Diceros bicornis minor: one gene and its partners. The protein of the gene in region 3 binds, or shares a complex with, the protein of the main gene of each other region. Links are inferred from orthologs where the notes say so. Each region holds a gene or a part of one and is shown on either strand. Other genes may lie near its edges.

Region 1 (7,853 bases), on a different chromosome or scaffold from region 3:
GTTTTTTTTCCTGTTTTTAACTGCCACCTTTGACTAGAACTGTTTTCTTGAGAAGCCTACAAGTTAAAGAACAAATGGTCAATTCAATACATTTTAAAAAGTTAATTCAGAGGGAAAAAGTATCACCCGAATTGGTTGTTTAGCATCATTTCATGGTAACACATGAAGGGTTCTCCTGTGACTAAAAACTACACACTGGAGAGCACAGAGAAGTTACCTGACTTCATTACAAAGAGCCCAGTCTCCCAAAGAATCTCTCCTAAGAAACTCCCCAGTCTCTTCAGGTACCCCTATTGGCAACACAAAACTGTCATTATAGGATGACTGGTGCAGCATGCCATGGTTCTGTCACCATTGAGTAGACTGTGAGCGAATGCACGCAGGCTTCTGAAGGCCTTCACCTTGGGTTCAAGGCAACTAAAGATCAAACGTGCAATTCTGTGCGAGTTCAGGCAGGCAGCAAAACTGGAACCAGGAAGATCTATCTTAACATGCCAACTTTTGACTCCTACCTCTATGTGTGAATCAGATTGCCTGGGTCACATTTACCCCTCTCAGTTCTGTAACCAATTGGTGAAGGCAAGAAGTAATGAGCTCGCTTCTTTTGGTACCAAAACGCAAATATTTCAAAGTGAGTAAGGGTATATGTAAAGAAATGTTATAAGCAGGAAACCACTTAAGCGGCATCTGCTTCGACCCACCTCCTCTGTTGCTCTATTCCTCTCAGTAGTGTCAGGAAGTAAAGTTAGTAAGAAAATTCAGCTGCGACGAGTCTTAGATACTAGTTTTTGTTATAAATGATACTATGGTAGAGTACTGTGCAAGCCCCAAAAGGTGCAAGGTTATTCAGGAGAATTAAGCAATTATACAGATTTAATGCTCCCTGACCGAGAATTGATTCCATAGGTTTTTCCTTGGGATGCTTTGCTGGAACAATAGCAAGGATACAACATCTGCAAGAACTATTATATCATGGTTTCCAAGAGAGAAACCAAGAGAGTAAAGAAGAGATTTGAGGTATCACATATGCTTTTATATATATATACGTATATACAAAAGACTCTTGAATGTTGTACTTCCAAATATCAGTACAGAGTCTGGTAGCTTGAATCAAAATATTCCTATCACTGGATGGTGAGCTTCTAGAATTACCCAGATAACTTCCTTTGGTTTCAAATATTCAGAGAATTGAAAGAAATTCAGATAATTGTATCCATTTGCCCTTACACTTCATACATTTTTACACTTTATACATTTCAATGTAGTTATTAGGCTCAAAACGTGAAAGTCCAAAATGTTAAACCCTACCTTTAAATTTTGTAAAGTGGGGTAAGAGGTCAAAGTTACCTCAATGAAGTAACATATTTGAAGGCTCCTAGGTATTGCCTGGTACATTAGAACATGCTACATGATTAAATTATTTTTTAGACAAATCATTAAATTTTTCTTAAAGTTATTTTATGATCGATATTATTTTTCATTAGGTAGTATTCACTCTTTCGAGGCAGATGATCTATGGTTTAATACAAGGTAATATAAAAATACTGTTTTGTTTCCAGTACCCCCGTGCTGTGGCCCAATGTCTTGTGAGGTTTTTTGGTGTTTTTTTTTTTTTTGGCCCTAGCCATCACATGGAACTGAAATCCTCAGGGAACAGTAATTCCCAAGTTTGTTTTTTGGTTAGTAACCTCTATTGCAAAGAGTATAGAGCATGGTTTCTCAAACTTTGGCACCCTTGACATTTTGGGCTGGGTAATCCCTCGTTGTGAGGGCTGTCTTGTGCATTGGAGTATGGTTAGCAGCATCCCTGGCTTCTACCCATTACCAGTAGCACCCTCTCCTCCCCATTTGTGACAACCAAAAATGTCTCCAGGAGTCAAAAATGACCCTGGTTGAGAACCATGGCCCTAATACATTATGTCACTTTTGCCTACATTAAAATTTAGCCATTTCTGCCTACTTACACTTTAGCTCTGAACCAGGCCATTCAGTAAATATTTATAAACACGGATAAAGGTAAATATTTAATATTGAGGGTATGACAAATGTAGGAAACTGAAACCACAGATTGTAAATTTAAATTATTAAGTTTGGTGGGGATCAAGGACACTGTCTAACTTGGAATTCACTGACTTCGCTTAATCTGTATACAATCTTACTTTATCTATATGGTTATTAAGTATTCATCACCACTCAGGTCACATCAATCAAGCAGGTACCAAATCCTATGTGAGGCACTATGTTACATTCTATGGGGCTGCCAAAGAGTGGAAGATGTGGTGTCTCCCCTCGAGGAACTTTTTCCATCAAGCTGTGGGAATATGTTGTAATATATTATTAGACTCTGGCCTGACATTTTGAAGTAAAATATTCAAGTGTCCTTGTTGAGGGGGAGTACCAAAGCACATCTGAATTTCTTATCATTTTATTAAAATTGAAAAATATATATATATGAAAAAGCATACGCAAACCACAAGGAACTCCATGTAAAAACTCAAGTGATCTCTATCAATAATAACACCACCAGATAGTTTATTTAATAACAGTAGGCCTAAACAAGGTCAAAAAGTTTACTAAGATCTTAAAGCAGTATTTTTAAGGAAATGTCTCAATAGTTCAGGTCTCAAAATTTAGCATTCAGTCTTCCACGTTCTTTCATAACTCTGGCCCAGAATGATGCCAGGGAAAGTGACTTCAAAGATATGCTTAATTTACTTATTTATTAAAATTACACAACTTGCTCTTAGGTGGTTGTGAAATCAAAGTAACTGGAAAGAATTTAGAAGACAAAAAAAGTGAAAGGTGTAACATATTATAAAGTTAACAATTTAAAGATTCAGCAAAAGCAGTGCCTAGGAGTTTAACCAGGCATCAATAAAACATACAGTGTACCCAGAGTGTGGCTAGCACTATACTAACCTCAGTGAAGAATTCAAAGGAAATCCCTTCATTCATTCACTCAACAAATAGCTAGTGAGGGATTATTATGTACCACACATTGTTCTAGGTTCTGAGGATACAGCAGTGAACAAAACAGACAAAAATCTTGCCCTCAGAGAGCTGACATCCTACCTGAATAATTCTTATGTAAGAAAAGCTGGATCTCTGGCCTCAAGCACCCAATAATCTTGTTGGGCAGAATAAACAAATGAAATGCACGAAATAAGAAAAAACTACAATGTGGGTGCAAGAGGAGAAGTTTGAAGGAGGGCTTGGAGCAATGAGGAAGGCTAAATCAAAATCTGCACTATGGACATTAAAGTTGCGTGGCACTGCAGGTTTCTGGTCAGGCTGGCATTGTTAAGTGTGAGCTGGGCTGGTGGAAAATAGAGACTGGGTTGAGGCCTATCACCAGGTTAGAAGTAGTGAGGGCCTGGACTTGGGGAATCGGGAATAAGGAAAATGCAATAATATCCTTTATCATCTGAATGGATAATGAAAATGTGGTGTATATACATACAATGGAATATTATTCAGCCATAAAAAAGGAAATTCTGCCATTTGTGACAGCATGGATGGACCTTGAGGGCATTATGCTAAGTGAAATAAGACCTGGGTTTGAATTCCCAGCTCTACCACTTCTTAATTGTGTGATATTTTCTTCCTGTGTAAAATGAGAGAAAAGCAATATGACCTCAGAGGGCCCTCGTAAAGATTCAATAAGATAACATACATATAGCACTTAGCAATCCCTGGGGCAAAGGAAATGGCATCCATTAATAATAACGATATTGATAACAGTAATATGCTATCTTTTGAGAAAGATTCAAAAGGAATAAGAGAAATATTTATTGAGCATCTACTAGAGCCCCAACACTGTGTTGGGTACAGACCTACAGCAACCTGCAAGGTAGGGAATTTCATCCTCATTTTAAACTGGCACTTGGATATTACATTTTAAAAACGTAATTAACCCCTTGCAGGTTCCCAAAGGTACCTTCATAATGCGATTCCCGTAATTACTATTATTATCGTTGTTACCGTTGTTATTATTAGGGTGCTCTCAAATGAGCTTGTCTCCCTCCTGGAGTGGAACTTAAAATGGAGTGGAGGCTGGGAGTTGCCGAAACCACTGCTGTGTATGCTGAGTTCAATAATATGGACTGCTAATGATCCGATCTCATTTCCCATGCCTCTATTATCCTCATTAATTTTTCTGCCGATATACCATCTGTTTTCCAATTTCCCTCTCTCTTACACGTGCAGAACTTGTGGTGAAGAGAAGCCCCAGTCTGGCCGTCCCCCACCAACTGATAGCCCCAGAGGTAGCCGTAGCCTCAGGTTTAAGTCACCTGAAGCACGTCTGGGGGCAAAGAATCCGGAAAACAGGAGAGTGGCTACGGATCCGCCCAGTGGCGCAGCCGCAGGCTGAGGAGACCGGACCGCGGGAATGAGCAGGGGTCCACTGACTCGGTGGCTCTCTGTGCCCCCACCCTCGACCAGATCAGGGAGCCAGGAAAGATTTCCAACACTCCCCAAGTTTCAGTTCAAGACGTCTCCTCCGAGGCTGCGTGTGCCCCAGCCTCGCACGCCTGCCTGCAACGTGGCCGCGTCTGGGACGCTCTCATACCCCCAGGGTCACCAAACTCTTTCATTCTCTCTCCAGGCCGAGCCGCGTTCCAGGTCCCGCAGTCCTCAGGGTCTCCTCTCCGTGTGCCGGGAGAGTGTCCCCCTTCGCAGGCTCCAGCAACTCCAGCCAAACCCCTTCACTGCGTGGAGCCTTAGCTCTCCTGACACCGCCCGGCTGCGGGGCGGGGGCAGGGCCAACGGCGGAACCGCCCCCAACCGCCTCCCGGGCCAGGCGAGCGGGCGGGTTGCTGGGGCGCCTCCACCTCCTCTTCCTAAAGCGGCGAGGCGCAGACAAGCGGCATCACTCGAGCCCAGGTCCCAGCCACCGCCACACACAGCGCCCCGCATTCAGGAGGAGGAGCAGCAGCGGCGGCGGCGGCAGCAGCGCCGGGCGGGCGCCAGAAAGGTAGACTGAGTCCCAGAGAACCGCGCCGCGAGCTGCCCACCTCCCAGTCTGGGCTACGCGCTACCAGCCCAGTAACCCCACTTCTGTGTGTCCTTCCAGGCCCCGGTCGAAAAGCCTGGGAGGGCCGCGGAGCTACCCCTGGAGGAGGAGCCAGTCCGAGCCCAAGGCGCCACCGCCGAAGAAGCAGTGTGGAGCAGCAGTCGCCTTCATGGCCCACTCGCCGGTGGCTGTCCAAGTGCCCGGGATGCAGGTGAGGAAGCCCAGGCCTCCCCCGCCGCCCACGTGACTGCCCGGGAGCCCGGTGCGCGCTCCGCGCTGGGCACCGGCGACGAGAGGCGGCCCCAGGGCTCCCCTCAAGGCAGGGCCGGGTGCTCTGGCCAGGTGTCCCAGGAAAAGGGCTCTAAGTTTTTCTTGGAGTTTAGGCTAGGTAGTGCACTGCGCGAGGAAGGCAGGGAGGGACTGGGGCGCGCAATGAGGTGGGGATGTGGGGGGGGGGGGGCTTATAAAAATAGGCCAGAGCGAGACACCTGCGCCTGCTGAGCGTGATACGGTTGGGGATTGGAGGTGGGAGGACTTAATTTTGGAGAGATGGAGGCGTCTCGGAATTTGTGGGGTAAAACGCAAGTCGTGCTGTCCTACCATACACACAAGTTGGGGCGGAGCAAGACAAGGGGGTGTCGGTGGCGGCGGCATTGAATTGGGCTCTTCCTGTGTGCGTAAAACGAAGAGCGAGGTGACTTCTTTTCCCCTTTTGGTGCTGCTTCTGAAGGGCAAAGTTGTATCTCGCTCCCCCAATGGCCCAGCCTATAGTATGGCGTGAGAAATGCAGGGTCCTAGGTCCGAGTCGCCGAGATGATGACTCCCCAGTCCCCTCCCGCTGCCTTTCCCACAAGATGACTGTTGAGTGTGCTTAAAGAAAGCTTTTTGTCCTGGACAAGGGACTACAGCATGGGACCCAACTTCTTACTCGAGATCTACCCAGCCCCCCATTATTTTTCATTTTATTAAAGAAGAAATAAGCTATGTCCATACATTTTTTATGCTATGTTTTTAAATCCGTGCATTTCAAGCTATCTACTAGATTTTATCCAAGTCTACACTACTTTTAAGCATTCACGTTTTATTTTTTTCCTTTGCTAGATAGCCTAAACAACCCATTTATGAATAGGTCAGAGGCTAGCAACACTAAAGCCTCCGTCCCTCATTATCTTCGAAAAATGTGAAAGCAAACTTTTTCCAAGTTCAGAAAAAAAATGTTTAGAGTAGTAAATAGACTGCTTATGTTTCTAGTAGAAATCAAAGTGCTGTGCATTGGGGCCTCAATTTACTAACTGATGCATGGAATTCATCCTTTTTTAGCAATTGGTCACATTTTATGCATGGTCACAAAAAAAAGTGATTTTTAAAATACCTTCCCAAACAAGGACCATTTGTGTCAGACATATATCAAACCTACGATTCCCGTGTGTACTAAGCACCAGGCCTTTTCGCTGAATGTAGGGCAAGTCTGTGTTGAGTCCCAGGAAGTCGGTGTGTATTTAATAAAGAAGAGAGGAAGAAAAGAGGAAATGAGAAATATTAGGGCTTTTTAAAAGGTTAATCCATTCAAGCTTTACGAAACGCTTCAAACTTGCTTCTAAGGCCACCCCCCATCCTTCCCTCCCTCTTTCCCTCATCCATCCTGCCCTACACTCCATTCATTCAGTCCTAACTTTGATTGTATCAAGAGAATTAGTAGTTTGCAATAATAACTACAGTTTTGCTCTGTCTGATGTGGAAGAAAGTGCGAAAAATTTCCCGCAGTGCTCTCTCTTCCATTATGTGGAGGGTAGAATGTTACAGATGTAAAGTTTGTCTCTAAGGGTCTCCATGCTTCTCTCTCCATTGTGTGCGCCCTCCTGCGTGCGTACGTGCCTGCGTCAGCAGGGTGAGTGCCTCCAGTTCATCAAGCTTGTGATTCTGGGGAACACTGTGTGCCGAGGAGAAAATGGTTTGTGGTCTTTATTCATTTCTCTTGACTTTATTTGATTTATATGGTTTCTGGTCCTTATTTGATTTGTCTTTATTTGATTGGTTTAGGAATTGCTTGCTGTTCAGTATTTCTTTTTGCCCCCTGCTTTGTTTAATTATCTGAGTTCACTATCTCTTGAATTTTTAAATCTTAATTAAGGTGGCTTAGAATGTGAATCACATATTTTAAATTACAAATTCTGCCTTTCAGTTTATGCCTTCCCAAAGTTGTGAATACTTTGTCCAACCTAATTTGGGGAGGGCTATCATTCAATATTAGCAAAGAAGAGAGGAATATTTATTTGTCACTTTCTCTGTCTTAATGAAATGGTAAATTCTTAACTTCTTATTTCCATTTTCTTTGTGGATGTGGTTCTTAAGCATTTTGTGCAACACAAAAGTTTTCCACAGTTAAAATTGTACAGTATCCTAAAAATAAATTTGATGGCATGCAGTGTGACTCCTGAGCCCAGACTACTTTTACTATTCTTTTGTTCAAAAATATTGCAGATGAGATGCAGAAATATACCATGAGCTTGTAAAGTTCTCCTACAGTTTTGTTAAAGAGTTAGGAGCAACTTTTAGACCTTTTGAGTAGTAAGAAAACTTGAGTTAGCCATGTGTTCCTGAAATTAATGTATAGTATTTCCACAAATCAGGGTGAAGTGGTCGACCGGCCTATAACTTTTTAACAGTTTATTTTAGAGAATTATGAAGATTGATGGAAAAAATGATTTTTCCAGAAATAAAAACAAAATTACTTTATTCACAGTGTTTTTCTCCCCCTGAGGAGAGACGTGAAGTACAAGCTGAGCTACCTGTTCTATCACTTAAGACTTCCAGCATTCCTGACTTTCGAACAAAGAAA
Region 2 (7,184 bases), on a different chromosome or scaffold from region 3:
TTCTTCCCATATTTGTTGTTCAATCATAACATTTCCATGTTGTACTGTATAATTGCACATTGAATTATCTAATTATATACTTCCCCCCTCCCATGCCATTAGACCACGATATCTTTGAGATCATGAACTGTCTGTTATTCATCTACGTCCCCCGGCTTGTAACACATACTCAGAAGATCCAATACTCACCAGTTTAATTATGCTGCATTGCAGCGTAATAAACAAATTGTAAATAAATGAAGAGAGATGGATAGAGAAAGAAGTTACAGCTCCTCACAAGCATTCAGACCATAGCTGGACAAAAGCAACAAAAAGCAGACCCAGAACCGAAAAAGGTGCAGAATTTAGAGGACGGGGGGCCACACAGCCCCACGACCTCCAAGCTCCCGAGCCCCCACAAGCCAGTGACTAAAACTGGGATACTGAACCAAGAAAATAAGTGACGTCTGAAAACGTTAATCGTAAATAGTAAAAAACCATGCACAGACACAACTTCTGTAAAAGGGAAAATATGAGCACTCCTCAATCATTTTTTTTCATCATTTAGACTTTTTTAGTTTGCTTAAAACTGCTATAAATCAGTTTCATATTTCTCCTTTGTCCAACACTATTACTCTTCTAAAGCTTATCAAAATGGGAGCTAACAAATAAAACTATTGTTCTTGATTGCTAGGTCTGTATGGCATTTTACCTAAGACACTACAGCTTAGATGGAAAACTTTTAATGGGTTTTCCCCCCATTTCTGTCCGGGTTGCAGTTAAACCCTGACACATGAGGAATGACCATAAAACTGTCTTTGCTGAAAAACCTTCAAAGGCCATTTGATCCACCGTGCCGTCTCTGGAAACCCATCGCGGAAAACCACTCTGCTTTTCATCGAGGGGAGAACAGTGGCGCTGGCTCCTGGGTTGCCTGAGTCCCGGAAGGAAGGGGGTGCGGGGTGACTGTGGTTCACAAGGAAACGTTTCAGCGACAGTAATGAAGTATGCAACCTTCAATAACGGAACTCGACGGCCGGTCGGCTCCACACGCCCATCTCACATTATGAGATGTCCAAGGTTCGGCAGGGGAAAAGAGCAAATTCCCCCACTTCAAAATTGTGCGAAAGCAAGTCTCAATGAGCAACAAATGAAACCAAATGTTGTAAAGGAAATCCATCAGCAATAAAGAGAAGCTAATAAAAATGAGGGAGGGAGAGGTCAGAAAGGCGGAATTCATAAATAGCATCGAGAAAGGCCAATCCGAAAAGAACCTGGACACGATCCTTTATTGAACTCCTCTTAAGTCTGCTACGCGGAGAGGAAATGACTTGAAATCAAACACGTGCACTATTTGTGGCTATTCTGGAGTCCGTTTTCATGAGAGAAACACAGATTAAAGAAAGAAGAACGAAACCCACTTAGGTTGAACACATGCGCTGGATAGAAACTTAATCGCTCCCTGATCTCTAGCTGCACGAGCCAGTGTATCTTTGGAACTTAGGGTCAGCCCGGGACCAGTGAGGTCCGACCTCCTAGGACACGTTCTCTGGGGTGTTCTCACTTCTTAAGTCTGAGTGTGCAGACAGCCCCCCGGGGCTCTGGCAAAAGGCAGACTGATTCAGCAATGGGATGGGGTGACATACACATTTCCCAGCAGCTGCAGGTGTGTGACCAGCTTTCAGGGGCCTCGTGGGCTGCAGCCACAGAAGGCACCTTGGCTCAGGTGGACTCAAGAGGGAGCAGCCCTCCGTCCCCAACCATCCTGCGCCCTCCTCTCCTACCCTTCCTGGATAACACCCGGGGAAGCCCGCTCACCTTCCCTTTCCCCGGCCCTCACCTCGTGCACAGTCCTGCAGAATCTTCTTCACTTACACCCTCCCCACCCCGCCCTTCCACCCTGAGGCCCTCCAGCCACCCCTGGAAGATGGACGGCACCGGCAGAGCTCCCGTTCCTGCAATCAGCAGACTCCTGCTCCTGTCTGGGGGCGTGCCATGCACGTCCCAGGCCCCGCCAGCCTCACAGCAACGCTTTGTGTTCCCAGCGCCCGGCCGGCACAGACTGAAGGTGTGTTCTGTGTCCGTCCTGCAGTTTATTTCCGTCCCGTTGGCAACCGCACAACATCTACCTTTGGCCTCCCCGCTGTGCATGGGCGTATAAAGCTGTCTTGTGCAGGCGATCAAAAAACCCCTTTCCCCACTAAAACCACACGGATGAATGGAGCTGTGCCTGGCTGCTCATTCAAAGACCCCGACTGAAAAGCCCATTTGTTCTTTGACAAGACGTCTGTATGTGATAAACCGAGATCTGTATGAATATTTACTGCTCTCCAGCAAGAACAGCACCGCACACACAAGCATTTGCTTCCCAATTAATGGAAATAATTTTGCAGAATTCCTGCCTGACGGTGCTCTCACCACTGAGTATACACGGATTTTTATCTCCAGTCACGAAACACAAACTCAGCTTGAAATCACTGCATGCACAAAATAAAACCATAGTTTAAGCAAGTTACCTAGTAACTGAAAGTCTAAAACATAAAATAAAAAAAGTTATGTAGTGAGTCCAGCTATATTTATACTGCAGGCAAGTAGGAGAACCTTCCCTCATAAGACCTCGAAATTACCCCCAAACGGGAGCAAACACAACCGAAAATTTTTTTTATAAAATTATATTAAGAAAATGTTACCAAAAAAAAAAGGTCAAGATGTCAAGGCAAGACGTGCATGTGTGCAGTGTGGACGATTTATCCATCCTATTAAAAGTATACACTGAAACAAGCTAGCCATGGGGTCAAAGCTCCTTTAAGTAATTTCACCTCCACCAAAGTAGATTTATTATTTTTGCAATTACAAATGCAGTTCATTGTCATCCTAAAAGGCCAGCGGTTAAAGTAGTTGCACACTCCCAAGCCATCATTATTGGTTGATAAACAAAATTAATGTCTGCGGGGCCCTTGAGGTCCGAAGTCGCCTGTTTTTTAACTAAAAACTGCTTCCCCGGCTTAGCGCGCGCTCCCGACTTCCGTAGGGCATGCTCGCTCCCGCGCTCGGCGGGCACACACTGCACATGCCCGCCCGCTCCCGGTGGGCAGGCACTGCGCATGTCCCCTTGCCGTGCCCCTTCCACACCGCCGGGCCTCCGGCTCGCTCTCGCCAGACAAGCACCGCGCATGCTCCACCGACTGGTCTCCCGGACGCCGCTACCGCGGACACGCACTGCGCATGCTCGACCCACCAGCCAGCCGCCTCCTACCTCGGCGAGCACGCACCGCGCATGCTCGCACCTCTGCGGCCATAGAGTCGCCTCGCCGGTGTGGGGTGGGCTGCACCCCTAAAAAGCCTAAAAGCGGAATGTCTTCGAGTGGGGCAGGCGCCCTCTCCCGCCCCTGTCCGGACCCCAGCTCCTGAACACCCCCCGTCTCCACAAAGGCCCCCCCACCCCCCGGCGAGGCCACAGCAGCCCGCCGCCTCTCAAGGCAAGGAGGCGTGCGTGATGACGCCACGCGTCGCGGTGACGCGCGACGTACGCGACCTTCCTTGGGAGCGCGGCGGGCGCGCCCGTTTTGAAGCTGTCCTGAGCGGCGCCGGCCTGTCCGCCGTCCGGCCCGAGTGTCCGCGCAGCGCTTCAGGGAGGGCGCCGGCTTCCTGAGCCCGCCGGCCGGGCCGCCGCCTCCTCCCCGGACCCGGACCCGAACCCGAACCCGAACCCCGCCGGCCGGGCCGCCGCCTCCTCCCCGGACCCGAACCCGAACCCGAACCCCGCCGGCCGGGCCGCCGCCTCCTCCCCGGACCCGAACCCGAACCCGAACCCCGCCGGCCGGGCCGCCGCCTCCTCCCCGGACCCCAGATCCCAGACCTGCAACTCCGCCGGGCCGCCGCCTCCTCTCCGGACCCGAACCCGAACCCCACCGGCCGGGCCGCCGCCTCCAGCCCGGACCCCAGATCCCAGACCTGTATCTCCAACGGGCCGCCGTCTTCTCCCCGGACCTGAACCCCACCGGGCCGGGCCGCCGCCTCCAACCTGGACCTCAAGTCCCAGACCTGCACCCCTTCCCCTGACCCCATGCCCGCGCCCCGCCCCCTCCCGTGACCGCGCCCCGCCCCCTCCCGTGACCCCGGGCCCGCGCCCCGCCCCCTCCCGTGACCCCGGGCCCGCGCCCCGTGTCCTCCCCGGATCCCGGGCCCGCGCCCCGCCCCCGGGCTCGTTCCCCTCCGCGGCCGTGGTCTGCACCGCCGAGGTCCCTCCGGGCCGGACTTGGCCGCCGGCGTCGGGCGCGCGTGCCGCAGGAGAGCCCGCGGGGAGGAGGGCGAGCCTCGGAGATGCCGCCCGGCAAGGTGCTGCAGCCGGTGCTGAAGATGAAGGTGGACGAGCTGTTCCTGTGCTGGCTGAGCGAGTCCAGCACGCAGAGCATGCTCCGGGGCTGCCTGCAGAGCATCCAGACGCCCGCGGGCGCCGAGCGGGGCGCCGGGGACGCCGGCCAGCCCGGGCCCCCGTGGGCAGCCCCGGCCCCCGCGTCCGCCGCGCTGCCGCTGGGCGCCGCCTCGGGCCCCAGGGTCGCGCCGCACGCTCGCGGGGCCCGCAGGTCCGCTAGCCCGAGAGTGGTGAGTGCCCCTTCCTTCCGCTCGCACCTGCGACGGTGACTCGGGCCGCGTGCGGCGTGGGGCGCGCAGAGGACGGACGGCAGCCGTGACGGCGCGTTCACAGACAGTCTGGTGCCCCAGATTCTGCAAAATGCTGTCGTTGGCCCGGTCCCCCGTCGGTGGCAATTTGGAGTTTGTTTCAAATTTTCTAGGTCGGTGTTAGTTACCCGCTTAGCGATTTCCCCTACTCGGCTTGAACCGAGCGGTTTTGCCCCAGATTGGTCTCGTTTTATCCCTCATTTGTCTCCGATAATTACAGCTGGACAGCGGTGTGTTACAGAAAAGGTGCTTTCTGACGTGGAATACTGTGTCCGCGTAAAGTAAGGAAACGTGGCCTCCAGGTGGTTGGTTCATAGTGAATGTAGGAGAATCATAGAATTTGTTCTAAAGCCTGAAATAGTGGAACTTGTTGATAACATTTAAAGTTTTCCAGTTGGAACCAGTGTCCCATCAGCAGCACTAAGCACGTCGTGAAGTGAGACTTCACTATCTGTCAGTGCAACAGTTTTCCAACCAAAATGGACCAGCCACTAAGGGGACGGTGAGAGCCAGATGTCCAGCCAAAGAGAACACGTTTTGCTCTAAGTTATTGGTGGTTTTCTGACACGCTCCAAGGGATGTAGCACATTTTCAGGGAAGTAAGTCCCCAAGGAGAATGGGAAGTAGACCAGAGGCAGCTTCACAGACCACCTGGGTGAGACCCCCCACACGTGCCCAGAAAGACGCTGGTGTGGGCCTGCGGCAGCGCGTGGCCCCCAGCACCCCCCGCTTCCGTGCGCTTTCCCTTGTCTTGTCTGAGTCCTCATTTTACTGAGGCCACGGGATCTGTGAGGAGGGCTGGGCTGAGAGAGCTTCCTCCAGTGGTGGCAGTTCTCTCCCTGCCCCAGGAGGCATTCATATTGGCAGTGCCCACGTCTTACTTAGCGAGCTGCCCTCTGTGTCGTTAAATATGTCTCAGGGACAGAGCCCCACACTCCTCTAAGGTAAATTCTTGAATTCCGTGACACCGTGACTTTGTGTGAATCATCCAGGACTGGAAGAATATACAGGTCAGCGCTGTGCAAAGATGGCAACTTGGATGCACGTGAAAGGAATATACTTCTGCACAGTGATAAGCTGCAAACAAGTGAGAATTAAGTTCCCTAAGTGTTCAAAGCAGGGAGAGGTCGTTTCTGCTTGGAGAGAGGGAGTGACTTGTGGGGTTTGGGGAGTGCACTGAATTGGGGGGGGGGGGCAGGGGGCAAAGGGAGGATATTCCAGGAAGGTAGTTCAGAGTGTGAAGATCAGATGTTGAGTCCTGCTCAGACCAGAGCAGTCTGACAGCGGAAGGCAGGCTGCCAAGCCCGGACCGTGCCGTGATGGCCGGAATGGGAGGGGTACAGAATTCGGGGCTGAGGAGTCTGCGCTTGGTTCCACGGCTGGCTGCTCAGGCTTCTGAAGGGTGACGGATTCAGTGCATGGAGCCACTGAGATAGAGCAGCCTAAGACAGGAGTGAAGAGGCTTGGCCCCTGGCCTGGCCGGGGGTGCAGGGAGCAGAAGCTTGAGGATGACAGAGAGGCGGCGGGAATTGCTGACGGAGGCAGGGCGAATTTAAAGATCCCTCTGCTTTGCTGTGCACCACACCAGACAGAGTAAATCAGCACGAGGAACCAGTTTGGAGCGAGACCAGAATGATTTTCCCTTAAACGTCCCCAGAGGTTTCGATAAGCAGCGCTTGATCTCCTCTGGGACCTGAAGTTACCCTGAAACATGTCTGAACGTATTCAGAATTTGTGGACTGCTTTAGCTGAATAACCCAAAGGGACCTATCTGTCTATCGGGACAAAATGGGAAGAGCTCATTCCTGTACTCCCCCTAAATGCGGCGTGCGAGGCAGCGTTAACAAAACCTGATTCCCAACCACAGACCCTGGCAGGGGCGGGGCGATGCCCAGGGGCCCCGGGACGAGGTTTTCATAGGTAATAGACCTTTCCTCAAGTGCACAGACGCGTCCAAGACTGAGCGTGAGGCGCCTGGCCGTTCCTTGTCACCGTCGGCCCGTCTAGTTCCCCAGGTAATAGTAAGAGGAGGCACGCTCCCCGTGGAGATAGTGCACGGTGCGTCCCAGAACGACGCGTGATTCGGGCTGGGGTTGCTGTGTGGTGTTACCCGCCCCAGGATGTCACAGTGGGGACGTGGCATTCTGTGTTTGGCAAACATCCTATGTAAAGGGGCACTAGGAAGGTCCCCTTCCCATCCTTATGGAGGGACAATGGTGCTCGGGGGCAGAGAGTGCACACCCAGTGTGTCTGTGCCGATGGTGCCAACCAGGATGCTACTACCGGCAGAAACCTTAGCGTGCTTTTAGAGTAAGTCCTTGCGAAGGGAAAGGAGAGCTTAATGTGGATGAGCTGTTTCTTCACATGCCTAATAACCCAGGGACGACTCGGGAGGAGAAGGTCAAGGTTCAGGCCAGGGGCGCCTCGATTGACCCTGCACATTTCCTTCTCTTTGACCACATCCCAGGACTCAGCCCTGGGTTCCCTTGAGCTGGTGGGATGCGACTTTCATGTTTAAAGGA
Region 3 (7,520 bases):
CTGTCTATCCTCCTCTACATTGTACTTGTTTGTTCCTTGTCTGCCTCCACAACAAAGGGAGCTCCATCAGGGCAGATTCTTGCCTGTTTTGTTCACTGCTGTTGCCCCACTACCCACATCAATCCCCAGCACACACCTGGCACTCCTTAAATATTTGTTGAATGAGGAGTTTCCCTTCAGACTTCAATGCAATAAAAGTAACAAAAGAATAAACAAAAAGAAACATTAAACCAATTGAAGATGTAAAAGAAATTTTTTTAAAAGGGCACTTCACCACCACCATATCACTCAAACTCCTACCACTTTCTCCCTCGATCTCTACCTTCCAGCCACAAGGACTGTGGTAAGCAGAATAATGGCCTTCCAAAGATGTCCACACCCTAATCCCTAGAACTTGAGTATGATACCTTACAAGCAAAAGAGACTTGGCAAATGTGACCAAGGTAAGGACCTTGAGATGGGGAGATTATCCTGAGTTACCCAGTCGGACTCAATCTCATGTCTCAAAATTAGAGACCCTTTCCTGGCTAGTCAAAGGGAGATGTGACTCCACAAGAACAGTCACAGAGATGCAACAATGCTGGCTTTAAGGATGGAGGAATGGGCCACAAGCCAAGAAATATGGGTGGCCTCTAGAAGCTGGAAAAGGCAAGGAAATGGATTCTCCCCTGGAGCCTGGAGAAAGAACGCAACCCTACTGACACCGTGATTTTAGCCCAGTGTGACCCAGGTCAGACTTATGACCTCCAGAGCTGTAAGACAATAAATTGCTGTTCTTTTAAGCCACTAAATTTGCCTCGAGAGTTTCCCATCCCATACGATGGTTTCTCCCAATCCCACTTCTATGGACATTTTGGGCAGATATTTCTTTGCTGTGGGGCTGTCCTGTACCCCATGTCCTGTATAGGAGGTTTAGCAGCATCCCTGACTTCTATCCACCAGATAGAGTACTTCCCCAGTTGTGACAACCAAAAATGTCTCCAGACATTACCAAATGTCCCGCGGTGGGTAAAATCACCCTGGTTGAGAACTACTGCCACTACCTGCCTGCTCTCTCTACCTGGAAGACTCTCCCCCACCTTCTTCCCAAGGCTGGATCCTTCTTCTGGTCTCATCTTGAACTCTGCCTCCTCGAGAAGCCTTCCTTAACTACCCTACTTAAAACAGATCTTCCTCACCCCACTTTGTGCTTGCTGTGTACTCCACCCAGAGAGCCTCATGGCTCCTTCCCTTGCCTCCTTCGGGTCTTGGTTCAAACATCACCTTTGCAGCAAGGCCTTCCTTAACTCCTCTTTAAAACTGCATCCCCCACCACTTTTCATTTTCCTCCTTAGCCCTTATCCGCAACATAGCATACATTTTACTTACTGTCTGTTTCCCCTCACTACAACGTACACTCCACGAGGCCAGGAGCTTTTGTCAATCTTCTTATATACCTGTGTCTACAACAGTGCCCTACGCAGAGCAGAGGCCCAATAAATATTTACTGATTCACTGTCACAACATGCTATGGTTTTCTTCCCACCACATCTCACATGTGTTATTAATGTATTCAGCTCTGTTCCACACGTCTCTTGTATAACAACTGGTGTCACCACTACATCCTCAGCACCATACCTGATATGTGGCAGGTGTTTACTGAACAAATGAATTCCTACAACAGCCCTTATGAACTAGATAATGACCTCCATTTGAGAAAAGAGAAAACCAAAGCTTAGAGAGATTAACTTGCCCATGTCAATCAGCAAGGAGTGGAAGAGCCAGAAGTACAACAGCAGCCTGTCTGACTACAGAACCAAAGTGATATACCCGGAACCTCAGAGGCTGGGCCCAGAGTAACCCACTCAATTTTATCAATAAGGAAATTGAGGCCCAAAGAGAGGATGAGACCTCTTCAACCAACACTCAATAATTATAGCTAACCTTTACTGGGTCCTCACAACAGGCTAGACACCGTTCTATTTTACCTGCATGTATTATTAACTCGTTCAGTCTCTCACAACCACCCAATGAGGTTAGGACTATGATTAGCCCACATTTTATGGAAAACAGAGGGCCAGAGCGATGAAGTAACTTGCATAAGGTCACACGGCGGGGGTGGGAGGTGCAGATGGGATGGGCAAACCGTGGAGTCCTCACTTTTCTCAAATCCTCGCCAGCCAGGCTCAGGGCCCTGAGCCACCCTATTCGGCTCACCAGAAATGTGTTAGCCCATTTAGCAAAGTGCCCACCTCCCAGTCAATGGGACGATCCCAAAAGGGGAGCGGGTTTCTACCTCGTAATTGACTCCTAAATTTGGCGAGCCGCCCCCCGCTCCTTCGGGGATATACACCAAAATTGGAGGGAGGGAAGGAATTGGAAAGGCAGCCTCCATCTCTCAGTTCCCCCATTTAGGGAGTTTACCCCACAGCGCTAAGGCCCAGCCGCCAAAACCCAGAAAGGCGAAAATCTACCCGGGTCCAGACCAAGCAGGCGACCCCTCCCCCATTCGGAGCAAGTCACGCTCCCTCTCCATCCCCAAGGGGCCATTCAGGGACCGCCGCCAATCACCGAGCCCTTCCCTGTCCCCGACCAACCAGGCAAACCCCCTCCCTGGCCGCGGCCTCCCAGGCCCGGGGCCGCCGCGTGCACTCGGCAGGCCCGGGACCCTCCAGACTCGCCTCGCTCCCGCCCTCCGCTGGGCCAACACCCAATCCCGGGCGCTGTTGCATCGAGTCCTGGGACCCGGAGAGATGAGAGCTGCACGCTGATTGGCTGCGCTCTCTCCCCGCCACGCCCAGAGAACGCTGAGCCTTCTCCGCGAGAGCCCCCGTGCCTCCATGTCCCCCTTCCCGTCTTCCTCAAGCCCCCCGTGGCCTCCGGACCTGGACATCCTCGTTGCGGAGCTCGTCTATGAGCACTGCGATGGGGTAGAGCGAGTCATCGCCGTCGGCCGCCGCCATCTTGGCTCCGTCCGTTCCTGTCAGACTGCGGCTACCGCCGTGCTGAAATCCGGATAGGGAGGGGCAGAGCTGGGAGGAGGAAAGGCGGGCGTGGGGGCGCCCGAGCCACTTTACAGGGGCGGCCCCACGGTCATTGGCAGCGCTGCGCCAGAGAAGCCCGCTTTTCTTTGGTCCGGACAAATCAAGTCCCGCCCACTGCCCATTTGCCATTGGTGGAAGGGACGAGAAGGCTTGCCGGAGCCAAGGAGTGGGGGAGAAGGAAACGGAAGTACGCGGTATCTTAGCGACCAAGATCGTAGCCGCCTACGTTGTCGCTAGCAACGGCCAAGACGAGCTGTTGTTTCTAGCCAATGAGGGGCAGGATTGGGAGGAGGCGAAGCCTGCCCGTCTGCGACTCCTGGAGAAAGTTTCTGCGCATGCGTCGGTAGGACTGCATGGCATCAGGAGGTGACCCGGACCGTCTGAAGGTTTTAGCTGGCAGGCGGACGCCCGGCGCCTTTGTGCGGGAGGGGCAGGAGGGAGTGAGGCTTTGATTTATGCCTTATGCCGAGGTCCAGAGAAGGCTGGCGAGTTGCTTTATTATCTGGATTAAACCCAAGTCCCTCGGACTAGTATTCAAGGCCTTTGTGGATCTGATTCCTAAACTCTATCTAGATACATCTCCCATCTCTCCTTTTTACACGTCAGCAGTCCTGGAAAATTAGCCCCCTGAGTTCGTCGTGATGCCAACAAGCCTTTGCCCAAAACATACCTTCTACTTGGAGAGCAGTTTCTATTCAATTGTCTCATCTCTAGATAAATGTCTCCCCTTCCCTGCCTTTCTTCAGGCTTGGCCCTCAAGCCCCTAGAGCCTCACAAAAAAAAAAAAAAAAAAAAAAAAAAAAAAAAGGAGCCACATAACCTGTTTCTCTCTCAAAATTCCCATCCCCGAGGCTGAGGCTGTGACTCTTGTGTTGATGTCTGTCTCCTCCCACAGAATGGGACAGGATTGGTACTGATTAGTGTCTGCTCCTAGCCTCACTCATCACAGCCCCCCTACCCGCAATCTTAGGACCACCCTAAATGAGGGAGTTTGGGCGCGGTGATGGGAAAGCCTGGGGTGCTTCTTCACCCATTATTGTGCCCCTTGAAGGGCAAGGCTGAGCGAGGACTCCTGGACAGGTCTGAATAGCCCAAGCATCTTTTCCAAAGACTTCTACCCACTCCAATTAGGAAACTACTCCCATAAAAAGTAAGGGGTGGTGGTGTTTCATAGTTCAATCCTTGCTGTCCATATTCCCAGGATCCTTCCCTACCTCACCAGCTCACTGAGACTATGGGTCTAGTTAGCTAAGGGTGCACTTTAAACATCTTGAAATTTTCTTTGTCAATTACACCTCAATCAAGCTGGGGCAAAATAAAAAGTCACAAGTGTGCCATGCAGAGGTAGCCTCTGCATCAGACAGCAACTACATAATCAGCAACTTGATTCTTGTCAGTCTTTTCAAACAACAGGCCTTTACCATAGACATCTAAATGAATCACCCAGACAATTATTCCAGCACTGCCATTTGTTTCCACAGTTCACAGCCCAAAAGAGGGGTGTCCTTATTCTGGCAGTCCATAGTTTTCCAAGTGGCACACTAAACAGCTAGACCACTGGCAGCAGTCCAGGTGTCTCAGATCTGACCAATGAACAGAACAATCACATCTAATTTTGGTTCTGCAGAGCTGGCACTAAGGCTAAACAGCCACACTGGCCCAGGGGACACCATTAGGATTTAGCTTACCTAAACCATCAGTGAATCATTTGGGGGAATCTTGAGGTCGAGGGTTCCTAGTGCGTGGCTTTGGCTACAGTGTAGAACTTAAAATTTCCTCCAAAGGGATAAGTACCACTTATTCTTGTAAAGCTGAGATGTCACTGAGGCCAGTCTGCCTTCATTCTTGAATATACACTTTCCATGAGACACAGGACTTTTGGGACCCTTCCTACTTGTTAATAGTGAAGTCCATATTGACTCATTCCAAAATTGAAATATCATGCTTGTAAAAAGGAGATAGCAGACCCAAAGTGGAGTCACTTGTGCTAAATCCCACATCAGCAAACCAAGACTTAATACCCAACCTAATTGCAGTTTAAACCTCTGTTGGAATGTAACCTTTGACCAGTCAACCTGGAATTACCTGGTCAGCACAAGTGCGGTAATCTACCTGAAAGTCCCCTTCCATTCCCTTCAAAATGGTGACCTTGCCTGAAACCATGCATTCTTTGCTAATAATTTCCCTTTTTCCACCCCCTCTCTGCCTTTAAAAACCTTTCCTTTTCTGTAGCCCTTTGGAGCTCCTCTCTACTTGCTAGGTAGTGTGCTGCCTAATTCACAAAGCCAATTTAATCTTTAAATTTACTCAGTTGAATTTTTGTTATTTAACAGATTTAGTGGCAGTGGCAGGACTGAAGGAGACTTCTGACAGCTTTGGGGACGAGAGACACAGGTGTGGTACCCATGAAGTCTGTTGAGTTCTGTGTCTTTCTTACCAATTTTGAGGGAGTGGGTAAGTTCCTCTCAGTTCTGAGCTCTGCTCTCTTTGCATTGAGCTCCTGATCTAATTGGCTTTCCCCATTTGATTGGACTCCCTCCCCAAATTCTCTCCCACTAGCCCCCCCCATTCCACATGGGGAACTGCTGGTGGTTATCCAACTAAGTCTGGAGTTAGGCTGGGTCCAATTTAAGCTGGACTGGGTCCAGCCTGAGGCATCAGGTGAATACAATTTTGTTTTAAGTAAAAGCTAGTGGCTAATGGGAATCAGAAGTAAAAAAAACAAAAACAAAAACAAATCCACAAACATTGCTGGGCATGGGTCGAGCATGAAACTGGGGACCAGCTTGCTTTAACTATACTCAGTTAGTTGTCTGGTTGCAAAAGTAGTTAGATAATGAATTACTAAAACCCACACTATAGACAACATCTCTGATGCCTGGGTCACCATGGTAACATGTGCTTGAGTTTTTCAGGAACTGACAGTCAACTCCTCATCCAGTTCAGGCTGGTTAAGACCACCGACACATCAACTGGGCCTGCATGGATGACCCATAGGTGACGCTTTGATGTCAAGGAGCTGAAAACTCCACCCTCAGATCATGGTGATGCTGCCATTTTGTGAACATGCATCCTATGAAGAGTCATGAAGTTTGATTGCAGATCAAACACAGATCATCAATTGCCTCACTTCTCCTTACCTCCAATCATCTATTCCCACTTCAGACCACTCTGCCCCTTTATCTCATAAATATCCCTAATCCCATTTTTCAGAGGTGGATTTGAGATTGGTTCTCCCATCTCCTTGCTTGGCTGCCTTGTTAAACCCTTTCTCTTTGCAAACTCATCATCTGGGTGATTAGCATAATGGTGTGGTGGGAAAAATGAACTTGGTTTGGTAACAAGCATTTAAAGGCTGTTAAGGGGGCTGGCCTCGTGGCTTAGCGGTTAAGTGCGCGCACTCCACTACTGGCGGCCCTGGTTCGGATCTCGGGCGCGCACCCACGCACCGCTTGTCCGGCCGTGCTGAGGCGGCGTCCTACATACAGCAGCTAGCAGGATGTGCAACTACGACATACAGCTATCTACTGGGGCTTTGGGGAGAAAAAGGGAAAAAAAAGGAGGAGGATTGGCAATAGATGTTAGCTTAGCGCCAGGCTTCCTCAGCAAAAAGAGGAGGATTGGCATGGATGTTAGCTCAGGGCTGATCTTCCTCAAAAAAAATGAATAAATCAATAAAATGAAAAAAAAATAAAGGCTGTTAGGGCACTGTATACCTCAAGAATACTCCCATGTTAGGATAAGTTGGTTATGAAATGGGTTAAATTGACACTAGGTCACCCACCAACCTCAAGAAAATTTCCATGCAACAAAGCACAATGTAAAACTACACACAATTCCCAACACCCAGGCACATCCCTCTTAGGTATTAGTTTGGCTCCAAGAAACCCAAAGGCTTAACTAAAAAGAAATGGGATCTTTAAGCTCCAAAGAGTCAAGTGTGCCACCTTCCAACACACCTGCTTATTTCATGTCTAAGAATTACAGTCCTGGACTGTAGATATCTAGCCAAATGGCAAAATCTTACTAAAAACAACCTAGAGTTACAATGGTCATTATGGGAAACGTTTCAATTAGACAAGATTGTTTATTTAAGAAGTTCACTGGAAAGCAAGAGTTCCTAAATTAAACAAAATGGAATACCTATTTTAATTGGTATGCAGAAGCTTCCAAAAGGCTGCAAGATTCCAAAATAGCTTCATTAAATGACTCATTACAAAAGGCTAAGGGAAAAGTAAAGACACAAAGGGCACCTAAAACAAAAGACTAGAGCACTGACGTGACTCCTACTGTTCCCCTCGTCCTTCACCTGAGCACTCATGGTTACTGATTCTCTGTCTGAACCGCCTTTCCACTCTGAAAAGACTTAAATAATTACCTTTTAAAATAAAACTACCTGAGGTTTCAGACGAATCTTTTCAGATATCTTTCACCCATCGTTCAAAGACCAAACTAAGGGCCATAGTTAAAAAATTCCCTAAACCCAGGGAAAATCCC
Region 4 (7,703 bases), about 6.4 Mb from region 3:
CTAAATGAGCTATGGTACAAACATCCAGTGGAACACAGTCATCAAAAATGAGAGAGAGGGGCCAGCCCTGTGGCGTAGTGGTTAAGTTCGCCCACTCCGCTTCTGCAGACCAGGTTCGTGGGTTCGGATCCCGGGGGCAGACCTACACACCGTTCATCAAGCCATGCTGTGGTGGCGTCCCACATACAAAATAGAGCAAGATGGGCACGGATGTTAGCCCAGCAACAATCTTCCTCACCAAAAAAAAAAAGAGGAAGAGCTCTCTGTGCTGACGTGAAAAGGACACCAAGACCCACAAGTATGTGAAAAAGTCACAAAACGATACATATAATATGATCTCATACGTTACACAACAAAGCTGCACTACTTTTATACTTTTATAGCAATGAAGTTGGAGAGGAGAGCTGGAGAGAAGAGGAAGAAAGGGACGGAGGGGGACTTCCTTTTACACACAGACACACACACACATATATGTATACTTACATACACACACATTTCTGAGACCTCTGAATGTTCACTAATGTCACAGAACAAAAGAAAACAAAAGTACAGAGACAGTGATGATGTGGAGCCTAGAAAAGGAAGAGCCTTCTGGGTGCCATCCACGAGTTCCACTCAGACTCCCAGAAGGGCCACTAAGGGAGGGAATAACACACACCTTTTCTCTCATCAGTCTCAAAGATGAGAAGGTGGTGTGGTGGGTGCTGTAGGGTGCACCGGCGTGAAGTCCCAGAGCCTCGGGTTCACTCCCGGGTCTGCTACGACTGCGTGGATGACCCTGGGGAGGCTGCCGAGCTTCCTGGGAGCAGTTTGCTCATCTGAACTGGGCGGCAGAGAGCTATAGAGCATGAGCTTGAAAGCCCTCAGACTAGCCCTGCCACCCATGGGCTGTGATCCTAGGCAAATCACTGACCCTCTCAAAGCCTCCATCTCTTCTTCCGATTATTTTTTTAAAATGTGGGCCGGGGGGGGGGGGGGCGGTAATATCACTCACCTTTCCAGAATGTTCCAAGGATTAAATGATACCATGTATCTAAAAAACTCAGTCCAGGCCCTGGCACATAACATGAGCTCAATAAACAGCAGCTGCTGGCATTTTTGCTGAGAGGGCAATGGCACTCGTGCTGCCCACATAAAGGGGTATTGAGAAGATCTAATGAGCTGTACCCTGGGAAAGAGCTCCGGAAGTAGAGCGGGATGCAAAGGCGAGGAGCACTTACATAAGGATTCCTCTCCCACCCCAACCCTCAGCTGGCCAGACGGCTAAGATCCTTAGTGGGGCTGGGAGAACTGTGGAATGCTGTCTTTATTCATCCTATTCACAAAATTCTAATCAGTTATTTATTTGAGTCCCCAACTCAACCAGATAGGAAACCTCAAATCAGAAAGGGAAAGATGGGCTGCTAGAAGCAAGTGCTGACTTCTGCTAATAACACACCAGCCCAGGAACGCTCCGACTCCTGGCAGCCCGTCCCTGGACCCCTTCAAACTCTCAGAACGCTGATGTCCAGGCTCTTTGGGACACTCTCTGCAAAGGGACCCACACTTCTCAAGGTCACAAAACCCAGCCCAGCTCTTCAGGCTCTTCCAAACATCATCCCAGCGCACATCCCTCTCCCAAGCTACTCCACAAATCATGAGGTCCTTTCCCGGAAACTTCCACAAACACGTCCTTCCCACCCCCCCCACCACCACCCCCCCCGCCCCCCAAGGTCGTTCTGACATGCTTCCTCACGCTGCCTTCCTGCTCTGCAACACGCTCCCCCTGCCATCCTCCAGGGGCCCCCGGATTCCTCCTCAGTGTCCCCATCCCACGGTGGACAAGCCTGACCCCTCTCACTCCAGTTCAGAGCCCCACCTGACATCTACACACTCCTCCATCTCGGGGCTGCAGCCCCCACTCTTCCACACCCCCAAACTGGAGTTTCGGCTCTCAAGCTCTCCCACACAGGCTCCCAGGGCAAGTCCTGGCCCCGTCCGTGCTTCCACCGCAGGGACCCTTCCCTGCCCTCGGTACGCACACATGCCAGGGCTCCCCAAAGCTCCCTCCTCGGAGAGGAAGGCACACACCTCCATCCCGGGACTCCTCGAGAGCCTCTGCTCCTCCCGAGTCCTCCCACAGCCGTCTTTCAGTTCCCGTCTCCAGACGCTCAGAAACACACCCCCTCCCAGGCTCCCCGACTTCCTCTCCCGACTCAGGCCGGTTCCCCCACCCCGGACCCGGCGGGTCCCCGACGCCCCGTCTCTCCCACCTGGAGCCCATCAGGCTCCACCTCCAAGCGCACCTGGTGGGCCGGGGCTGGGAGAACCCCGCACCCTCTGAGCTTTCGCTCCCTAACTCCTCCATCAGCCCCCAACTCCTCCATCACTCTGGGCTGAGTTCTCTGGGGCTGCCCTGGGGGGACCCCGCCCCGGCACCCCCCGACCGGCCAGCCCACTCCCACTCCAACCGGCTCCGGTCCCCCGGCCTTCTCTCGCCGGACCCGGCCGGCCCCTCCCGCCCCGGGGTCCCCTCGGCCGCGAGCCGCCCGGGGCCCCCGGGACCCCCCTGGGCCGGCCCCTCACTCCTCTCGGGCCGCCGCGGCCCCCCGCCCCCCCGGCCGTCCCGGCGGCCATTGCTCCAAGATGGCGGCGGCGGCGGCGGCGGGTGAGGCCGGGCCGGGCCGGGCCGGGCCGGGCGGGGGGCCGGGGGTCCCGGGGCGGCGCTCACCTGCAGCTCGGCGCGCTCGGCCTCCCAGCGGGCCTTCTCCGCTTCGAAGCGCGCCCACTCGTGCTGGATAAAGTGCAGGATCCCGGGCAGGCTCAGGGGCTCCGGCCCCGCCGTGGGCCCGGGGCTGCCTCCGCCGCCGCCTCCCTTAGCGGCCGGGCCGGGCCCGGGGGACGGGGCAGGGGCCGGGGCCGCGCCCGTCGGGCCGGGGCCTGCGGCGGAGCCGAGCGGGCGGCAGGAGGAGGCGGCGGCGGCGACCGCGGCGGCCGCTCGCTCCTCCATCATGGAGGCCCCGGGGCCGGCCCGCGCGCCCGCCGTGCCTCGCGCGCCTGCGCGGCCGCGCCAACCTCCCCCCCCCCCCCGCCCCCCGGCCCTCCGCGCGCGCTCGCCGGGGCTGGGGGGGTGGGGGCGGAGACGGGAACGAGGCCCGGCGCGCGCCTCGCCCACCCGGGTCGACCCCGACGGCGCGCGTGCGCGCGCGGGGGGCGGGAAGGGGGCGCGCGCCCCGAGGGGGGCAAACGCGACCCAGGCGCCGCGCGGGGGTCGCCCCTGGGAAGAGCGGGACTAGGGGAGGGGTCGCTATGTGCCCCCCTTCTCCCTCTTCACCCCAAAGAAAGATTCAAACCCTCTCCAGACCCAAATCCCACTCTCATCGACAGTCAATGTCTGTCACTCTTTGAGAGAAAGGGCGACCACCATCCTCTCTCATTCCTGGCCAGGGGCGGTTGTCATGGTAACCTTTCCCCAGCTCGGAACACCCCAGCCTCCCCTCCCTTCCCCTCCACCTTTGTGGTTATGGAGTCCCAAACCTTTCCTGTACCTGCACCAGGAGGAGGTTGCTAAGGTAACCTAAGTCCCTTGTGGTCCTTCTTCCCCTACCCTCATTGGTTACTATGACAACCTCACCTAGCACTCAGGTAAAAAGGGCCCCAGCCCCAAGGACACTGATGGCTGAGGGAAACACTTCTTTCCTAACCCCTCCCCCCAGCTACTCAGTTGGCATTACCATGGTAACCATCTCCCCCCTTCCCCATCGTGGGAGGTCCATGGACCAAACCCAACAGGTGTTTTTATTTAGAGAAGATGCTCTGCTGAGCAGTAGTTGCTATGGTTACAGAGCCTGGCCCATCCCCAGAGACGTGAGAAGCAGGCAAGGCCAAGCCCTGGTTACTATGGTAACGGGGGCAGTCCCCCTTCCTGTGACCCTTGGAACTAGGCCCACTAAGGTACGGGATGTTTTATGATTGTCTCTCAGCATGGAGTGTGTCTAGGGGAGGAGTTGTCATGGTAACACCTTCTGTCACTTCCAGCCCTACCTTTCTGGACACATTCATGAGAGGGATGCTTAGAGGTTGCTATGATAACTAACATCCTTCCCTCCCACTCCTAAGATGCTCCAGGTGGTGCCCAAGCTTGTGCGACTTCAAAAGAAATGATTCCCTGACCTTCTCACTGCCACTTTTGTAGATAAGATGAAATTGTGCTCTATTGTGCAAAATTGGCTGATTTGAGGTTTTCTGGTTCTCCTTCCCTCAGCAGTGCAGCTGAGCTGGGCTGGAACCACCTGCCTGGAGCTCCCCCAGCCTGCAACCTAGGAGGTAAGAAGTCCCCCAGTGTCACCAGCAGTCACATGGAAACTGCCCTTTCCTTGTCCCCAAAGGCTTTCCCACATGTCGCTTATTTTCTCTGCCCATCACATACCCATTCTACAGATGCAATAACTGAGGCTCAGGCCAGGTGAACCCAGGCCTGAAGTGAATCTGGATCCACTTAGATTGTTTTGGGGGGAGTGGAGAGACATAGCTTAACTGCCCTTAACTTACCACCTTTTCTCTGTCACGCCCCCTGCTGGTTTCCTGCCCTATCTGTAAGTTGTTTGTGTGGTTCTGTCTGTCTTCCTACCCCTGGAGGGCCTGCCCCATGACTGCCTCCTTCATCACAGGGTCCGGCTCAGAGGGCACTCAATAAACATCTGTTTGTTGAGTGAATGAGTTGAATGAATTATTTAATGTGCCATCTTCAGCTTTGAAAGCCCCTGTCCGGTTAGGGCGGGGGAAAGCTCACTGAAGATGGACCGAGAATTGGACTGTCTGAGTGGACCCAACAGAGACAGCAGTTTATTGGTTGAAAGCACCACTTTGGAAGCAGCTTCTTGGGTCTTCTTCCCAGCTGTGTGACCCTGAGCGAGTGACTTCACCTCTCTGTGCCTCAGTTTCCTCATCTTTAAATGTGATCGTAACATGAAGATGCAACAAGTTAATAGTGTAAAGTGCTTAGAACTGAGTCTGGCACGTCATGAGTGGCTAGCATTGTTGATATTGTTATCATCCTATCATGATTCAGAAAGATGTCGAACGTTCGGACCTTCAAAATCATCGTTTCATCCACTTTGCCCCAGTGAAGAGGTTTTGAGCCCTTACAGTTGGGGAAGCTGAGACGGACCTTGTCGGGGTACTAGATGATTCCTTGCTCTCTCTTCTCTGGTCCGCTCCCCTCCTCATCTGGCTCTCATACCCGCTGCTCTCCAAGGACCTGGTTTCTGTCCTTTGTCCTGCTGGGCACCTCCTGGCCCGGAGTCAGCCAGACAGAGCACAGCAAGAGCCAGGGCCTGGAAGTGGAGACCCGGCTTCTGCCACCTGCCTCCTTTCTGCCTCTGAGCCACAGGTTCCCCATCTGAGCAACGGGAGTCCCTCCTTCATTCCACACAAATGATGCGTTTGGTGGCCGGTGTGTGTGGCTGGAGCTGAGTGAACGAGTGAGAGAAGACGGGGGATCATGCGGGGCTTTATGGGCCACCGTGAAGACTTTGGGTTTTCCTCGGAGTGAGTTGTGAGCCACAAAAGGATTTGAGCAGATGCAGAACAAGATCTAATTCGAGTTTTAACCAGATCCCTCTGGTGCTGAGTGGGGAACAGATTATAGGGGATGAGAGTAGAGCAAGAAGATGGTCACTTTAGAATCTTTAGAAAATTCTAAAACTATCTAAGGCTCTCTTCTGTGCTTCTGTGTACCTAAGCTCTAAGATTCTGAGATTTTTAAGACCTCGAAGACTCTGTGGTTCCAAAGGCCCCTCCCCCCGTAATAATGTGAGTTCCGTGAGGTCAGGGGTGTTGTCTGTCTCTGTGTGTTGTGTGTCCACCGCTGTGTCCCCAGGGCCTAGAACAGTGCTGGCGTGTTGTAGGAGCTCCACAAATAGACATTGAAGGACTGAAGGAAGGAGGGATCAGTCTAAGGGCCAGAAGGCAATTCCAAGGTTCTGAGGATTAAGAAGTCGCTCTCAAGGTGCAACTCAGATTCTTTTGTGTGTGTGTGTGTAACATCAGCCCTGAGCTAACATCTGCCAATCCTCCTCTTTTTGCTGAGGAAGACTGGCCCTGGGCTAACATCCATGCCCATCTTCCTCCACTTTATATGGGACGCCGCCACAGCATGGCCGGAGAAGCGGTGCATCGGTGCGCGCCCGGGATCCGAACCCGGGCCGCCAGCAGCGGAGCGCGCGCACTTAACCGCTAAGCCACGGGGCCGGCCCCTACAACTCAGGTTCTTAAGTACCAGCCGAGCTGGGGCAGAGAAGGGCATGTGGGACTGGGATGGGTGAAGAGGGTGGGAGAGAGAGGAGGCAGGAAGGCCAGGGCAGGGCCCCAGGCCCATGGCCACAGTGCGGAGTGTGGCTCCAGGGACCTGAGTGGGCTTTACAGACACACAGAAACCCTGACCCTCGCCATCAGTTTTTTGCCAAGTGCATTTTCAGTGCCCAGCCGTGTGCTAGGAACACAGCGGTGATCGAATGGCCCTGGCTGTACCCTCCCAGGTCTCACAGTCTAGTGGAGCAGACAGACCCATCCCCAGATGGTGCTGAACCAGAATAGGCAGGCCCGGAACGGGGGGACCCCAGGGGCTGCGAGAGCCCAGAGGGGACTTCTGACCCAGCCAGGGGTTCAGGGAGGACTTCCTGGAGGAGGGGCCATCTGAGCTGAAGCCTGAAGCATGAGTAGGAGCTTTCCAGGAGAAAAGAGGAATGGGGAGACGGGATGTTCAAGAGGAGACTCTGCTAGGCAGAAGGAACAAAATGTACAAAGACTTAGAAATAAGACGTGTTGGAGGAGAAGTCCGAGGTGGCTTAGGCATAGAGTTTGAGGAGCCATGGCGGGAGATGGGGCTGGGATGATGGGCGGGTCAGGGCCAGGTCACACAAGGCCTTGTGGGATGTTGTAAGATACTTAAAGTTTCTCCCCAGGGCACTGGGGAGCCATGGCAGGTTCTGAGCAGGGGGGAGAGGTCAGATTTGTGCTTTGTGAAGACTCCTCTGGCTGCCATGAGGAGGGGACTTGGTCAGGAGACCAGGAGGAGGCTGAGTGGGGCTGTGGGTGGACCCAGGCTGAGGGAGGGGAGCTGTGGGAATGGGGAGGAGGGGTCAGAAGTATTTAGGAGGTAGGAAGTTTAGCTGGGGCTCTGATGCTCCCCTCCCCGGCGGGATAGAAACCTATGAGAATCCCTCGTGGGGAAACTTTTTGAGTATCTGCTCAGAACCCAGAGAGAGTTAATTACACTTCCCGTGCTGGAGACCAGCCAAATCTTCCCGTCCTGATGGGGACAGGGAGACAGCGCCACCTGGGGGTTGCTTAGGAGTGTGGCCAATGAATAGGGGCGTGTCGTACGGCGGGCAGCCTCTCTTGATTCAGCCACTCCACTTAAAAAAAATTTTTTTTAATTGTGCTAAAATACACAATAATAAAATTTATCATCCTAACAGTTTTTAAGTATATAGTTCAGTAGCGTTAAGTATATTCACGTTATTGTGCAACCAATCTCCAGAACTTTTTCATCTTGCGAAACTGGAACTCTGTAACTGTTAAACTCCCCATTTCTCTCTCCCCACAGCCCTGGCAACCACCTTTCTACTTTCTGTTGCTATGAATTTGACCCGTTCCATTAAAAAAAATTAATTAGTGGCCAACATTAAGAGTTGGGATAATTCTGATGTGAGAAAACATTT

The links.
Region 1: PPP2R1A (region 3) and STK26 share a complex: the UniProt entries of both Homo sapiens proteins name them as parts of the core of STRIPAK complex. The link is inferred for Diceros bicornis minor from reciprocal best matches to the Homo sapiens genes PPP2R1A and STK26.
Region 2: the proteins of PPP2R1A (region 3) and PPP2R3B are in contact, whole or in part, in a crystal structure (PDB 4I5N), measured with the Homo sapiens proteins. The link is inferred for Diceros bicornis minor from reciprocal best matches to the Homo sapiens genes PPP2R1A and PPP2R3B. Residues at the interface, in NP_055040.2 of Homo sapiens: Leu10, Ile13, Ala14, Ile17, Ala41, Leu42, Arg46, Ser49, Glu50, Leu51, Pro53, Phe54, Asp57, Ile59, Asp61, Glu62, Asp63, Glu64, Glu100, Glu101, Thr102, Arg105, Asp139, Trp140, Phe141, Asp177, Thr178, Pro179, Met180, Arg183; in NP_037371.2 of Homo sapiens: Ser122, Ser124, Ile125, Pro126, Thr127, Phe128, Tyr129, Arg275, Trp277, Ser278, Ala284, Glu285, Arg288, Arg354, Ser357, Gly358, Ala359, Val360, Thr361, Arg362, Gly363, Arg364, Gln367, Lys368, Glu394, Arg398, Asp401, Leu402, Asp403, Gly404.
Region 4: PPP2R1A (region 3) and STRN4 share a complex: the UniProt entries of both Homo sapiens proteins name them as parts of the core of STRIPAK complex. The link is inferred for Diceros bicornis minor from reciprocal best matches to the Homo sapiens genes PPP2R1A and STRN4.

Annotation. Positions count from the first base shown.
Region 1 is NC_080781.1:120,366,076-120,373,928, forward strand, and holds the start of STK26 (serine/threonine-protein kinase 26), read left to right. Parts: upstream 1-4,836; 5' UTR 4,837-4,975; intron 4,976-5,074; 5' UTR 5,075-5,183; coding exon 5,184-5,225; intron 5,226-7,853. UniProt on the Homo sapiens protein: Serine/threonine-protein kinase that acts as a mediator of cell growth. Modulates apoptosis. In association with STK24 negatively regulates Golgi reorientation in polarized cell migration upon RHO activation.
Region 2 is NC_080781.1:204,420-211,603, reverse strand, and holds the start of PPP2R3B (serine/threonine-protein phosphatase 2A regulatory subunit B'' subunit beta), read left to right. Parts: upstream 1-4,176; 5' UTR 4,177-4,302; coding exon 4,303-4,584; intron 4,585-7,184. UniProt on the Homo sapiens protein: The B regulatory subunit might modulate substrate selectivity and catalytic activity, and might also direct the localization of the catalytic enzyme to a particular subcellular compartment.
Region 3 is NC_080773.1:28,670,517-28,678,036, reverse strand, and holds the start of PPP2R1A (serine/threonine-protein phosphatase 2A 65 kDa regulatory subunit A alpha isoform), read right to left. Parts: upstream 3,004-7,520; 5' UTR 2,943-3,003; coding exon 2,865-2,942; intron 1-2,864. UniProt on the Homo sapiens protein: The PR65 subunit of protein phosphatase 2A serves as a scaffolding molecule to coordinate the assembly of the catalytic subunit and a variable regulatory B subunit.
Region 4 is NC_080773.1:22,277,194-22,284,896, forward strand, and holds the start of STRN4 (striatin-4), read right to left. Parts: upstream 3,008-7,703; 5' UTR 2,993-3,007; coding exon 2,711-2,992; intron 1-2,710. UniProt on the Homo sapiens protein: Calmodulin-binding scaffolding protein which is the center of the striatin-interacting phosphatase and kinase (STRIPAK) complexes.